Linked DNA regions of Astyanax mexicanus. The protein of the gene in region 2 purifies or fractionates together with the protein of the main gene of each other region. This does not show direct contact. Links are inferred from orthologs where the notes say so. Each region holds a gene or a part of one and is shown on either strand. Other genes may lie near its edges. The genes, in order: rexo4 and rbm28.

The links.
Region 1: the proteins of rbm28 (region 2) and rexo4 purify together in Homo sapiens (affinity purification with mass spectrometry; 3 studies listed by BioGRID and IntAct, with this or other methods). This does not show direct contact. The link is inferred for Astyanax mexicanus from reciprocal best matches to the Homo sapiens genes RBM28 and REXO4.

What each region holds. Positions count from the first base shown.
Region 1 is NC_064424.1:25,787,900-25,795,223, reverse strand, and holds the start of rexo4 (RNA exonuclease 4), read left to right. Parts: upstream 1-4,204; 5' UTR 4,205-4,498; coding exon 4,499-4,726; intron 4,727-5,943; coding exon 5,944-6,290; intron 6,291-7,324.
Region 2 is NC_064416.1:15,735,898-15,743,186, reverse strand, and holds the start of rbm28 (RNA-binding protein 28), read right to left. Parts: upstream 3,284-7,289; 5' UTR 3,022-3,283; coding exon 2,904-3,021; intron 1,427-2,903; coding exon 1,271-1,426; intron 1,170-1,270; coding exon 997-1,169; intron 175-996; coding exon 99-174; intron 1-98. Other genes in the region: si:dkey-5i3.5 (transmembrane protein 53), read right to left, coding at 5,510-5,871, 6,785-7,275. UniProt on the Homo sapiens protein: Nucleolar component of the spliceosomal ribonucleoprotein complexes.

The DNA.
Region 1 (7,324 bases), on a different chromosome or scaffold from region 2:
TGACCCATTTACCAAAATGCTGCTCTATTAATCTAGTATAGATTGGTCTTCTAGTATAGATAGGTATTGTCTAGCATAGAGAATCAAATGGATTTATCAACATATATAATAACTGGTTCTATAGACCTCTGTAGTCTTCTGTTGTATACCAATCTGCTGTAGGCTACTCATCTGTTTTAGACTAGACCACTTCAAATCTTTTTTACAGACCAGTCAGCTGTGGACCAGTCTGTTTTAGAGTAATCTGCCTTGAAGTTGCTCCACAGACCAGTCTACAGTAGATCAGTAGATTCTGTGGACTAATCTTCTTTTGTAGACCAGCCTTTTTAGCTCAGTCTGCAATTCTTCAGTAATCTGTTGTCTTGTTTTACATACTAGCTCACTTAAAAGCTGCTCTGTAGACCAGGCTATTGTTGATCAGTCTTTTATTCGGGCCTACTCTATTATAGATAGGTTTATTTAAATCTTTGTTCTGTACACCAGTTTGTGCCTTCTACAGACCGGTCTTTTATTGTGTAGACCACTCTGTTAAAATTGGTTGTATTGGCTGTAGACAAGTTGTTGGTTGTGGACAAGTCTGCTGTACAGGAGTCATATGTTGTTGAATACTTCTTTAGAACACCTTTTATTTTAGAATATACTGAGCTCCTTATGTAACAAGTCTGTTATTCACCAGTTAGTTTTCTGTTGCCTTTTATTATTGAATACACTTCTCAAAAAAATCTAGTCTACAATAGCCTAGACATGGTCTACTTTGATGCCACTCTAATGCAACATCTCTATGCAGTCACTTCTCTTCACAGCCTCTATAGTAGGGCTGATCACTCTTATCCATAATGGGATGCAGGTACCTCAGCCTTATTCTGGGCTACCTTCCCCCTCCATAAAACTGCACGACAGATGATCCTGATATCATCATACTCCACATTTAACTAACTAATATGGCGTGTCCAACACCTTCACGAGTCCCTGTATTAATGCAAACAGTGTTTTAACTGTTGTTCTTTATCTAATTACTCCAGCAGATGTGATTGAGTGATTTGCAAGTACAATACTGGGTACAGTAAGAGCTTGGGGCATACTGATTAGAGACTTGGCAAGGTGTCCTAGTCCTGAAGAGTTATTGTTTCGTGTCCCAACCATGAGAAATTTGCCAGGTTCACACGGTTCTGGGTCAGAGCTCAGCACAGAGTAGTTCAGGGTCATCACCCTCGTGCCTTAGAGTGAAAACTCAAGCCTCACTCTATTTTATTCAAACTGCTGATGTTTGGAAAGAGAGAGAATAATGAAAGGAGCATGAAATGATGAAATGAAATGAGCTTAAGAGGCTTTCCAGTCCCTGTGCTCTAAAGTACAGAACCTGGAGAACTGTCAGTCATTCCACTTGAATATAGCATGCCTACTCCAATCCCAAATACCCTCACCCCACCCACCACTGCCACCCCTGTGTATTTAGCAGTTTAAACTTATTTTTAAAAAATATTTTATTTTTCTTATTTATTTCTTTGGTGTTTTTCTTTTGCTTTCTATTTTTACATGAATGCCTGTTGAATTTCATGTTAAATATTTAATAATTTGCATCACAAAATGACCCATTTTGTCAAAGTTTTAACTTTGTAACTCCAAATATGACTTGTTTTTAAAATATTGAGGTAGTATAAAAAATATAATTTATATTCTGAAAATGACAAAAATGGTAGAGAAAGTATTTTTATTTACCATGTGTATTTAAAATGTAAGGTAACAAGTTGACATTTTGAGATAATCAGTCATATTCTGACCTGGCAGAAACATGTTACTTTATTTTTTTTTAACCCTTTCTGTGTAGGGGTGTGCATATGTGTGTTTACATGCAGTGGTTTAGCAGTTGTTAAAAATATTGATAATAGCTGCTCTGAGATTTTTCTTTTCAAATATATACATTAATAAAATATACATGCTCTTTGAACAGTGATGAATGTGAGCTTTTGGGTGAAGAAGGCTGAGAGAAAGGACCTATTCTTTTACTTTTATTTTTGTATTTTTTTCTGATGTTGAAGCTGAATATTGAAATGCTTATTGTATTTTGTATGTTTTTGTGTGTTTGAGGGAGAGAGAGTAGTCTGATGATTTATAATAGAATGACATGGAATTAATTTGCTGTAAAGAAGGATTGCTGTATGTGTAAACGTGTATAAAATAAATTGTATTAAAAAAACTAAATGCCTGTATCTGCAGTAGCTTTGGCTTTAACATATAGTAACAACATTGAGAATACTATGAAAGTTATGTTTCTGCAATCATTCATTTTATTAGCTACTTTAATTCATTCATAATTAAGTCATTCTTAGCACTGCGGGTACATTGGCATGGAGGTGGTGCTGCTAGAGTTTTTAAACACTGTGTTGAAAAGGACAAACTTATCTGGATATTTCTAGTTTGTGGGTTATTTTCCTAAGTCCAACATTGAATGTGAGGTGTTTAAAAACTTCTGCAGCACTGCTGTCTGATCCACTTGTACTACAACACCACACACTATCACCACATCAGTCCCACTGCCATGCTAAGGATCTAAAGATTAGCCACAATGATCCATAGTGATTCCTACTCTGCGGCATGCCCAGGCAGTTGGAACTGCTGTGAGTTCTTTTAGAAGCCCATTATTAGAATACCAAAATTCCCTCATTTGTTTTTCTGTATATTTGATCTTATTGTAACAATGACTGAGGAGGTCAATCTCAACACTCTTTCTTGTTACTTATAATATTTCTTAGATCTTATTTATTTTTAAAATACAAGTTTTGGGAAAATTACTAAAATGTGTTCTCATGTTATTAGCATAGCCACAATTTAGCTATTTTCATGTTTTTGCTAAAAACTCAGTCACTCATAACATAAAGAGTAACAGGACTAACAGGGGTCAGGGGTGAGCTCCAGTAACAAACCTGAAATTGATCAAATTTATTATCATGCAATTTATTAAAGAAATTGATAAATAATGAACCAAACAGAATAGGAAAAAGGTTTTTACATTAACTAATATTTATATGAATAAATCAATAAACCAGGGAACTCTACTCACTCCTGTTACTGGAACTCTCTCCTGTTACTGGCACTTAGTCCCGTTACCGGCACCCAGTCCTGTTACTGGCACTTACTCCTGTTACTGTCACTCAGTCCTGTTAATCTTTATGTTATGGGTAACAGGACTAAGTTTTTAGCCTAGAATTAGCAAAAACATGAAACATGGCCATGCTAATAGCAAACGTGATTTTCCCAAAATTTGTATAAAATAATAATAATAAGATTTAAGAATTAATTTAGGAACAAGTGTCATAAGTAAGTCATAGTTACAATAAGATCAAATATACAGAAAATCAAATGAGGGAACTTAATTTTGGTCTTCTCATGGTCTTCAGAGGAACCAGCTATTGTCACTTCCTGTTGTAGATGTGACTTGTAGAATGTTCCAGATTTTTCAGATGGTAATATAAAACCCAGGGACACAACTAAAATGTGCATATTATCTTAAGGATTAATTATGAAAAAATTAAAGCATACATGGGATTTGGAATCACACAACTATGTATAAAAATTTTATCTGAAGAATTTTAATAATTATATTTCATGGTAAAGTTTATAGTTTGAGAGTGGGGACAGCGTTCTAAGTAGTTTTTTTTTTTATTAATGTTTTAATTACAAATCTTACTTTTGCAACCAGGTCAAGGTACAAAAAAACTATGCTAAATAATAAAATTTATTAAAAAATTGTTTTGTGTGTACATTTATACATGTAATTTCTTGGGGACAGAAATGGCACAGATCCTGCGGAATATGCCTCGTAGTTAATAAGGAACGACAACAATGTATTTATAAGAAACATTATTAAGATGAAGAGGGTACAATTGTTTAACTTTTTAATTAAATAACACATGGAGAAAATAATGTTTAAAAAGTGAAACTGTGACATCTAGTGCTAGACCTCGGGTAGAGCAGTAACTATTATGTAAACTATTATGGGAATTACAGTGAAAATCATCTAATCCCCTAATAAAACACAAACCTTTAGATACTTAAGATTATTACAGATATTTAAGAATATTCCAATACGACGTTAATGTGTTTATAGATCGTACAGTCCGATTAAACCTCGAGTACTAATTTAATTCAGTTTATTTCCAGAATTCTCCACTGGGAACTCAGAGAGCCGCGCTCAGGACCCTTTACCCGCCGGGCCGCTTTAGATGTTACACACAACTGAAACACGCATGGTGGCTGCGTGGATCAGAACCGATCTGTAAGAGCGATTTAAACCTTTCTGTTAGACTGATTTTCTTAATTAACGTGTTTATTTAAAAAAAAAAGATTTTTTTATTAGACACCGATTACCCCGCCAGTCTCCTTCATCGGGCTGGTTTCTGTAGTAAAGGAGCAGAACTCCAGAGTTGTGTGTGGAGTTGTGTGAAGTTGATATGGAGGAATAAGCAGCGTCTTTAAGCTTCACAGTTTAGTCGATTTGATGACTTTAAAAGAACATCTAACGATGTCTAAAGGGAAGCACAAAGGACCCAAGTCTGATGTTCGTGCTGCAACAGAGAAGCAAGCTAAAGGTCCGGATAAAAAAGGGGAGAAAAAGAAGAAGTTTTTCTTTCAGCGCGTGGACAAAAAATCTAAAGAGAAGAAAATACAGATCCTGCCACCTAAAGAGGCGCAGCAGTTTTCATCTAACTGGAAAAGCCTCCTGGAGGTGAGCTACTAAATGTTCTTCCTTGCAAAATCCATTCCTCGTTCTGTTACAATTAATGTCAATGTTCAAAACAGATTTTGAATCCTTTATATCATTCATATACAGTTCCAGTCAAAAGGTTGGACACACCTCTTCTCATTGAATGTGTTTTCTTTCTTTTAATGATCTCTTCATTGTAAATATAATATTGAAGATTATATTTAAGCTATTCAGAAACACATGTAGAATGATAATTGTAAACAAAAAGTGTTAAACAAACCAGAATATGTTTTGTACTTTAGATTCTTCTAAGTGGCTAGCTGGTCAGCTGGAATAGTTTTCTCAGTGTTTTGTGAAGGCTAAACACTTTTTTATTATTGTTTACTGTAATTCCATGTGTCCCTTAATTGTTTTTAATGTCTTTAATATTAATCTACAAAGTCCAAATTTAATTAAATAAAAAACATTGAGTGAGAAGGTGTGTCCAGGTGTGTTTGACTGGTACTGTATTTAAATTTTTTTTAACAGTTTTTTTTGTAAGAATCTGCAGGCTTAACTTTTAAGAGAATTCTGTCTCCTTATACTTGGCTAGGTTGATATTTGTCCCTTCCTTTTGTGTGTCTTGTTGTTAATATACACAGTACACAATAAATACAACAGACGAGACAATGTAACAGACCGGACAGTGCAGTACCAATACGGTGCAATGAATGTTCTGGGGAAGATAAGGTGCAGAGATATGTAACATATAGAAAATACATGATCACAGCAGTTACTGAGGTAGAAAGTTTATAGTTCTATAGAAGGAAGCGGGAAAGACTACTGATAAAGACATTTCAGTCTATTTTTGTGTGTGTGGAGAGATTGGTGGTTTAAGTACATGATGTATCAGTAAGCCCAAAAAATACACTCGATTAACAAAGGCATGTCTAAAGTGGAATGTGAACACTAGATTTAGACTGGCAACTGTAAACACAAGTTTAATGTCCCAAAAGTGATTGAAATCAAAGGTGAGCAAAAATGAATAATATATCAATATTGTATTTATCATTCTGGGCCTTGTTTTAAGTATGTGTATGTTTGCAGCTTGCACATTACAGTCTCCTTGTAGGTCTGTCTAAAATGTAGCCTAATATTGGATTTATATGGAGTTTCTGGATCCCCACCAGAGAGAATATGTTGCTGCATTTTTATATTTTTTGACTGACATTTTTTATTGTGCCTTCTTTATAATGCAGGTTCTGAACTCTAAACAGGGTGCAGACGGTAAGAAGGACTCTTCACAAAAACAAGTACAATCTAAAGCACCGAAGCCTCAGTCAGCAGTAAAGAAAGACTTCCACAAAGCTCAGCGAAAACCAGATAAACACATAAGCAAAACAGGACACGGACCAAACAAGGACCTTAAGACACCACAGAGTGTGAAAACTGAGAAGCCAGAGACGAGCAGTGTCCAGCAGACCAGCAAAAGTCCTTCAGCACCCAAACAGCATAAAGCTGAGAAGAGGAAAGCAAAGGACTGTGAAGGAGGACCTGAGAACAACAAAAAGAAGAAAGTGGAAGAGGTGGAAAAACAACCAACAGAGTATGTGTTCATGTTTTTTTATCACAATCTATAGAATCTGAAAAAACATCAGACTTGTCATTCTTAATAATGGATGCTATGATATCTACTTTGTCTTCATTTCAGTTGATAAAAGACAATTCCAATATCGATATGATCAGTTTAGATGCCTTCACCTCTGCTTTACATCATTACGCACTGATGTAGTCAGGATATGAAAGCATATTTTTTTTGCTCTTTCTGCTCATCCTTATTTCAATAAACAGCAGTACATCACCAGTCGGTGACAGATACTAAAGTAGCGTAAATTAGATCATATCACCGTTTTTTGAAACATGTTTCCTTGAGATATATATTGATACAATATCTAGTATATAATAAATAGTATATTGTTGTATACTGTATAATATACAGTAGGAGTGTAACGGTACAGAAAATGTACGATTTGGTTCTAATCTCGATATAAACCCCATGGTTCGGTATGTTTTCTGTACGGTTGGTGGAAAAAATTAAGAGGCTGGGCATTCTGTATAGCCTCTCCTTTATTAACTTCATAATAACAATTAATCTTCATTATCATGTTTTATTTTTTTGGATGGTATGTTGTAACGGAGCTTAAGCCCTTTTATTAAATGCTTGAAACCAGGGTTCTCATGAGAGGCTTCATCTTTTAGATCTTGTTGGAACAAACGCATCAGTCTTCAGTTATTTTTAAAAAATCTCAGCATTGGGTCACATAAAAATGAATTAAAATCACGATTCATTATTTTTTATGCTGGAATAGTGTAGTGTGGTCTGGCAGACTAGATCTTTTTGTTCTGTATTATAATATGTGAGAGAGAGAAAGAGAGTGTGTACGAGTGAATTATCTGCATTTCTATGTGTGCTTTCTACTTGTGTGCTCCAGCCTGCACTGTTTCCAGTCAGAGCAAAACTTCTCAGGACAGGCTATGGGCTAAGTCAGTATTGAGTTGCTAATAGCAACAGTGCTACAGTTACTCTGTCCGGGTGCAACACTTCATTAATTACGTATTATGTTCATTGGTTCCACAAGT
Region 2 (7,289 bases):
AAAACACATATCAAAAACAGTTTTTAGCATCAGCACCAGCAGTAAATCACACACCACTATTCGTAAAATATATCTCAGATTTAGAAGCCAGATTTTACCTGGTTTGAGAGGGATTGTAGCCTCCAGGACAGTTCCAAACTTTGAGAAGGTTTCTTTGAGCTCTTCCTCAGAGCACTGAAGAAAGAGACAGAAAACAGAAATAACACTTAAAAAAAAAGTATTATATGTAAAACAAAACAAGCACAAAATAATGCTAAACCAATGTTCCTTAATTCCACTGAACTATTCCTACCGGACTAGTGCTGGGAAAAACATATATAGCATTTTGTCTCAATTCCAATTAATGAATAACTATTTTAATGAAGGACAAACATGATATTTTTTTATTTGGTACAAGCTGCTTAAGTCACCTAAGTGGCTTATATATATATTTTTTATATATCTTATATCTTATCTTATTTTTTTTTTTACCACGCCTTATAATCCTGTCCATAAAATACGGTATTCAAAAATGTGTTTGTAAAACTAATATATTCCGCACTTCTCAAAGGATATTAATAATTGCTTACTAAATACATTAACGAAAAATATCTGTAATTTACTGAAAACACTATCAAACAGTGCAACAATGTGTAAACTATGATTTTATTATATTTATACTAGAGGGGTCTATCCCTTAAAAAATAAATGCTGGTATTTTCCTGTATTTATGTGAAGGTAACAACAATTAAAAAGACCAGAGTTGACTGTAAACAAAAAGTAATCAACAATGTGTTGACAATTTGGAGGAAAATGAAGCCTGAATAAAAGTAGCTGATGGCTCAATAGGTAGCTTGCTTGATTAGCCTCCGTGCTAAGCGACCACACCGGTACAAATCCACACACAGTGTAAGCTCCTGCCAGTGTGAATGCAGGGCTAGCATATGAAAGAAGACTGTCTGGACATTAACAATACATTGTTATAAATTGTTATATACTTGATATAATATTACTCACTTTAAAACTAAGATTTCTGATGATAAGCCTGGCTTTCTTCGAATTGTTTCTGGTCCCTTTAGACTTCTGAGGACTTTTTTTTTCTGATGCCTCTTCAGAACATTTGGTTTCTGATGTCTCTTCAGAGTGTTCAGTTTCTGCTGCCTCTTTGGAACCTTCTGTTTCTTGTGGGGCTGTAAAAATATTTTAAAAGAAACAATAAAGATAAGAAAACAGCCTTTAGATAAACACTGAAACTAAAATAGAATACACTTTCATACACAAAAATGCATACCTTTCTTGCTTCCTTGTTTTTGCTTAAGAATCTTTTTCTTTGCCGGAACGACGGTTATTTTGCGTCCGTCATACTGTTTCATTTCATTCTGAGCTCGTTGGGCGTCCTCTGCCATGGAGTATGTAACATAGCCGAATCCACGACATTTCTCTGATCCTGAACAGGTTAAACACAAATAGAGCAGGTTAAACACAAATTAAATAAACCACATTCTATCAGGGAACAGGGGACAGCTGTGTGTGTGTTTGTTAGTCTCATTTTGGTACACTAAAGATACTTTTACTGCATCTTCATATCTTCACATGGTCATACCAGCCAAGAAACTTGGTCATCATGGTCATGCTGGTTGACCAGTGTAATCTTTTTCATGATTGCACAACAGCTAAACCAATAAATCCAAATGAAAACAGTGTGCAGGACTTCTTTTATGGCCAGTCCTTAATTATCTTATTTTAAATTACCAAAATAAGTGTTTTTTAAGGGTTAAGAAAAGTTTATAATTTTTTTAAGCAGGACTGGTATGTTTCAGTACTTTAAAAAAAAACACATTACAGCTGTTAATGAAAAATTTATGGTTTAGGGGCTCTTTAGTAACTTATTTCCACCACGACTTAATGATATCATTCGCACACTTTAATAAGTTGTGGCCACACATGAGGATCTTATTCCCAGACCTTAATAAATCGTGGATACACATTAGGAGCTGGTTCCCATGCTTTAATAGTTCATGGCCACATATCAGGATCTCGATCTAATGGCTTAATAAATCGTGGACACGCATAAGGATCTCGATCTCACGCCTTAATAAATAGTCGACTTACATTAGGATCTGGTGCCCACGCCCCAATAACTCATAGCCAAACATTAGGATCTCGTTCCCACAACTTGGAAGCTGGTTCCCATGCTTTAATAATTCATGGCCACATATCAGGATCTCGATCTAATGGCTTAATAAATCGTGGACACGCATAAGGATCTCGATCTCACGCCTTAATAAATAGTCGACTTACATTAGGATCTGGTGCCCACGCCCCAATAACTCATAGCCAAACATTAGGATCTCGTTCCCACAACTTGGAAGCTGGTTCCCATGCTTTAATAATTCATGGCCACATATTAGGATCTCGATCTAATGGCTTAATAAATCGTGGACATGCATTAGGATCTCGATCTCACGCCTTAATAAATCGTGGATACGCATTAGAAGCTGGTTCCCATGCTTTAATAACTCATGGCCACATATTAGGATCTCAATCTAATGGCCTAATAAATCGTGGACATGCATAAGGATCTCGATCTCACGCCTTAATAAATAGTCGACATACATTAGGATCTGGTTCCCACGCCCCAATAACTCGTAGCCAAACATTAGGATCTCGTTCCCACAACCTGGATTTTGTTCCAACGACTTTTATTTCGTTCCCACTCGTTAATATGTCGTAGCCACGTATTATTATTTTTTCCCTATATTTTTACATGATGTCACCTCAGGGTCTCTTTATATTAACACAGAATCCACTAGAATATAAATGTTATATTTGATGAGGGCCCCTATTTCACTGAGATCACCACAATACTCTAAACAACACATTAGAAAATCAGGACTCTTTTCCTCGTCAGCTCATAAACTTACCTTTATCTTTAACCACGAAGCAGCGCTTCACCGGCCCGACCTCAGAGAACAGCTCCTCCAGACCAGCACTGCTGGCTGAAGCGGGTAAATTAGACACGAATAAAGTGAGTGAAGCCATTCTGATCAGATTTACTCTATAGAGCTACTAAAGCACATAGAGCAGCAGCAGCAGCTCTAAACTCTGTATAATATACTCCTCCGCTCCCCGCAGTTAAGCCCGCTGAAGCGGCCAGACCCGGCCAGCGCCTCGCTGTACTACACTTATTATTATAATAAGCAGCTCCGCTCAGTTCTCCAGCCCTGAAACCTGTAAACACACGTTTTCTTACAGGGCTGACATGCTTCTCTCCAACCACACCGGATACCTCCACATCTTAATGTGGAGCTGCTGAGGAACAGCGCCCCCACACGCCTGGAGGTCTACAGAGCTCATACTAATACATCTCAAAAAAGAAAATATAATTGAAAAAATACTTTATTTCAGCTCAAAATGTGAACCTTATCTATTATATAGATGTACTACGCAACGTATTTTAAGCGTTGATTTATTTTGAGGTTGTTATGTGAGGTTGTTTCAATTATAATGAATGATAATAAAAAATATATCAAATGCTTCTGCGTTTATTTATTTATTTTTTCTTCTTGGGTTTACCTGCTTTGGATTCAACTGTTCTGCAATTAGGTTCAACAACCCTCTGGGCTGGAGAGCAACTGGTCTGTAGCACTCCATCCCATTACACTTCATTTTCAATTTTTTTTGTGGCCCGCCACATAATGGCTTGGAAAATATCTGGCCCACAGCCAAACTTAATTGCTGACCACTGGCAATTGGCTTACAGCCAATGATAACTCAAAAATCAGCGTCTCCTAAACTTAGAATATTATATAAGACCAAGTGATACTTTTGGCAGAGTGGGCAATGTGCCAAGTCCTGCTAAAAACAATGAAATCCGCATCACCATAAAAGTTGTCAGCAGAGGGAAGCATGAAGTGCTGTAAGATTTTTCAGGAAAATATGGCACAGACTTTGGACTTAATATGACACAGTGGACCAACATCAGCAGATGACATGTCTCTCCAAACCATCACTGATCATCAGTAAATTTTACATTTCATTTGGAAATCAAGGACCCAGAGTCTGGAGGAAGAGTGGAGAGACACACAGTCCAAGCTGCTTGAGGTCTAGTGTAGAGTTTCCACAATCAGGGATGGATCTGCTGCATCTTTCCTTTAAAACTTGGTAAATATTGTCTATTTCACTCTGAAATGTACATATATTAAGAGTCATTAGAATGCTGGAAGTTTAGATTCTGAGGCAGGAAGGCACCCAGTCATGAATCCAAATTGTCTAAAGTATATTGAGTAAAGTAATCTGTAAAGTTAACAGGGTTAAAAAGAACAAGTAATTAAGTGACTAATTTAAAATAAGATAACTGGGGTCATAATGAATCAACAGTTTTGTGAAATTGTGAAAACTTACGCTATAACTAATGATCATTTATGTGGTTAGGTGGACTAATTTGGCAATTAATCTTTCTATTAATTGATTAATTAGCCATTCCCTCCATTTCTGCTTCTGCCATTCAAAATACAAACTCTAGAGTAGTTCTATTTCTAGAACTGCAGTGTAAGTATTTAATATCCCGAGCCTTTAATGTGCTTTCAATTATGGAAAATAATTAATTAATTAACAAATTCACATTTTACACTAATTATTAGACACGGTTGTACTGATTTTCACCTCTCTTTTGGTTGAATATTTTTCCTGGTCCTGGCAACCCTGTTTCTGCAGACACCTAATATTAGGAACAGGCTATTCCAGTTTATAATCTACAAGAGGACGGATTAAGATCATATTGCATACAGTGAACTTCTCTCTCTTAACAAACACACTTACACCCACACAAATCCGTCATCATTATGAAAACTGAATTTCATAATGGCATCCAATTAATATAATAATAAAAAAATGCCAATCTTGATTATTCATTTTTCCTGTTTGGAGGCATTGCATATATTTATATGCAGTAAATTATTAATGTACACTTATATTGTTGCTCACCACAGTTTATGTAATTCATTTAATGAGATGGTAAATATTTATTTTAATTTACAATACATTTAACCACTAATTGGTCTTCATACAGTTCTTATAAATTCAATTAAAAAGAAATGTACCACATTATTTTAGCTTTTTTTAAGTACATTAATGTCTTAGTGTTTCTTCTTTATTGTAAGTGACCATTTAACCCTAAAAGGAGACTTATACATGTGCATTAGTAATGTCAAAACATATAAACCATAAAAAACATACTATAAAAGTCTAAATGTACTTTTTACATCAGTGGAATACAGTACATGGAACAACACTATACAGAGGTATTATAACGGTTGAGCATACTGTTACACCAGGGTTTTTTATATTTTATAATCAACCTCTCTTTAACTGACAAACAGTTTCATATGCCTCATATTGATTAATTATGTTAGGCAACAAGTGTCAAGGCACACAACTTTATCAATAATATTAAAATTAATTCTTATTGTGTTTTCAACAAAATTCTAAACATCAAACACCTTGAATATAAGGTAACTGTATGTATGTTTTACAGTTTAGCCTTGAGTGGCACCATGTTGAGAGAGTAGAGGAAGTTTTTCAGGATGGACATGTACTCCTGAGGATGGGCACGCAGATGCCCTGCATGGATCGACTCTACCCACTTTTTGCTAGTAACAGAAATACCCAGTTTATCCCACTGTTCCAACATTTCCTCCAAAGCTTCAGGATCACACAGTGCATCATTGTTACAGTAGAAGAAAAGTGCAGGAGCTGGAACAGGAGTTTTCTTGAATGCGTCAATGCCCATGTTGAAGTAGTCCACAGTCTGGCGTTTGAACATGTAGAAATAAAGCAGGCTGACATGCTTTACCACAGGCCCCCAGCGGGGAAACAAGTTCCGACTCACACCTGGAATGCAAGGAAGACAGAGGAATACACGGAGATTAAATTAAAGATGCGTTAAATTCAGGCTGCTCAATCAGAGCTGTCATCACTGTTTACACTTTGATAAAAACAAAAAAGATATACAGCTCTGGAAAAAAAATAAGAGACTTAAAATGTATGAGTTTCTTTGATTTTACCAAACTGAAAACCTCTGGAATATAATCAAGAGAAAGATAAGTGATCACAAGCCATCAAACCAAGCTGACCTGCTTGTATTTTTGCACCATGAGTGGCATAAAGTTATCCAAAAGCAGTGTGTAAGACTGGTGAAGAAGAACATGCCAAGATGCATACAAACTGAGAGTAAAAATCAGGGTTATTCCACCAAATATTGATTTTAAACGTAATGAATATGAACTTGTTTTTTTTGCATTATTTGAGGTCTGAAAGCGCCGCATCTCAGCCATTTCTCATTTTCTACCAATAAGTGCTCTAAATTACAATATATTTTTATAAAACAAACAATGTTTATTTTATTCAAACATATACCTATAAATAGAAAATCAGATAAACTGATTCAGAAACTGAAGTGGTCTCTTACGTTTTTTCAGAGCTATATATCATCTTGTTTAGAGCATTGCAAAATATTGTAACTCATATATTGAAATATGTATCAATCACCAGATGGCTGGAGATTGCTGTACTTTACAGACACTTTATGTAGCCATTTCTTCTTCCAAATTTGTCTAGGGGCATCCTAGACTGTTAATGTCCACAACATACAGCAAACTATAGCTTCCCTAGCTAAGGAGCACTCACAGAAAAAGTGGACAATGAGCAGAGAAAAGGAAAAAGAAAATGTATGAGGGGATCTAAGATTGTAGCACAGTTTACAGAGCACAGAAGACAAAGGTGCAATAGATTTTTTTTTTCTTACCAATAGCCATCCGCTCCAATGAACCCACAACCAGACTGTCATAAATCTGTCCTTTGATCCTGCTGGTCAAGCCCTGATATCTCTGGGGATCTCTGGCAATATGAATAAGAATCTGGGCAAAAGTGTATCCTCCGATTGAAAAGGCGTGAACCAGCAGGGGGCGCTGTGCGAAACGTTCACTCTCCAGGAGCTCCAGGAGCTGGCCCCCGTACTCCAGCCCCCAGCGAGGCCACAGGAACCGTCCCACCTCTGTCTCCACAGCTAGGACATCGAATCCGGTTTTGAGGTAGATCTCGCAGTACTTGGCCAGGGCATGTGGCTTGGAGCCCAACCATGGCAGAAGAAGCAGAAGAGGTCTGGGCTGGTCAGGTGGGCCAGCAGCTACAGGGTTGACCACAGAATCATTTGCATAGAATGTAACGCCCTTCCTGATCGTGTGTCTCGCTACCCCATTGAAGCTTACATTCCTGGAGGACATGACAGTGGAGGACCTGCAGAAAAACAA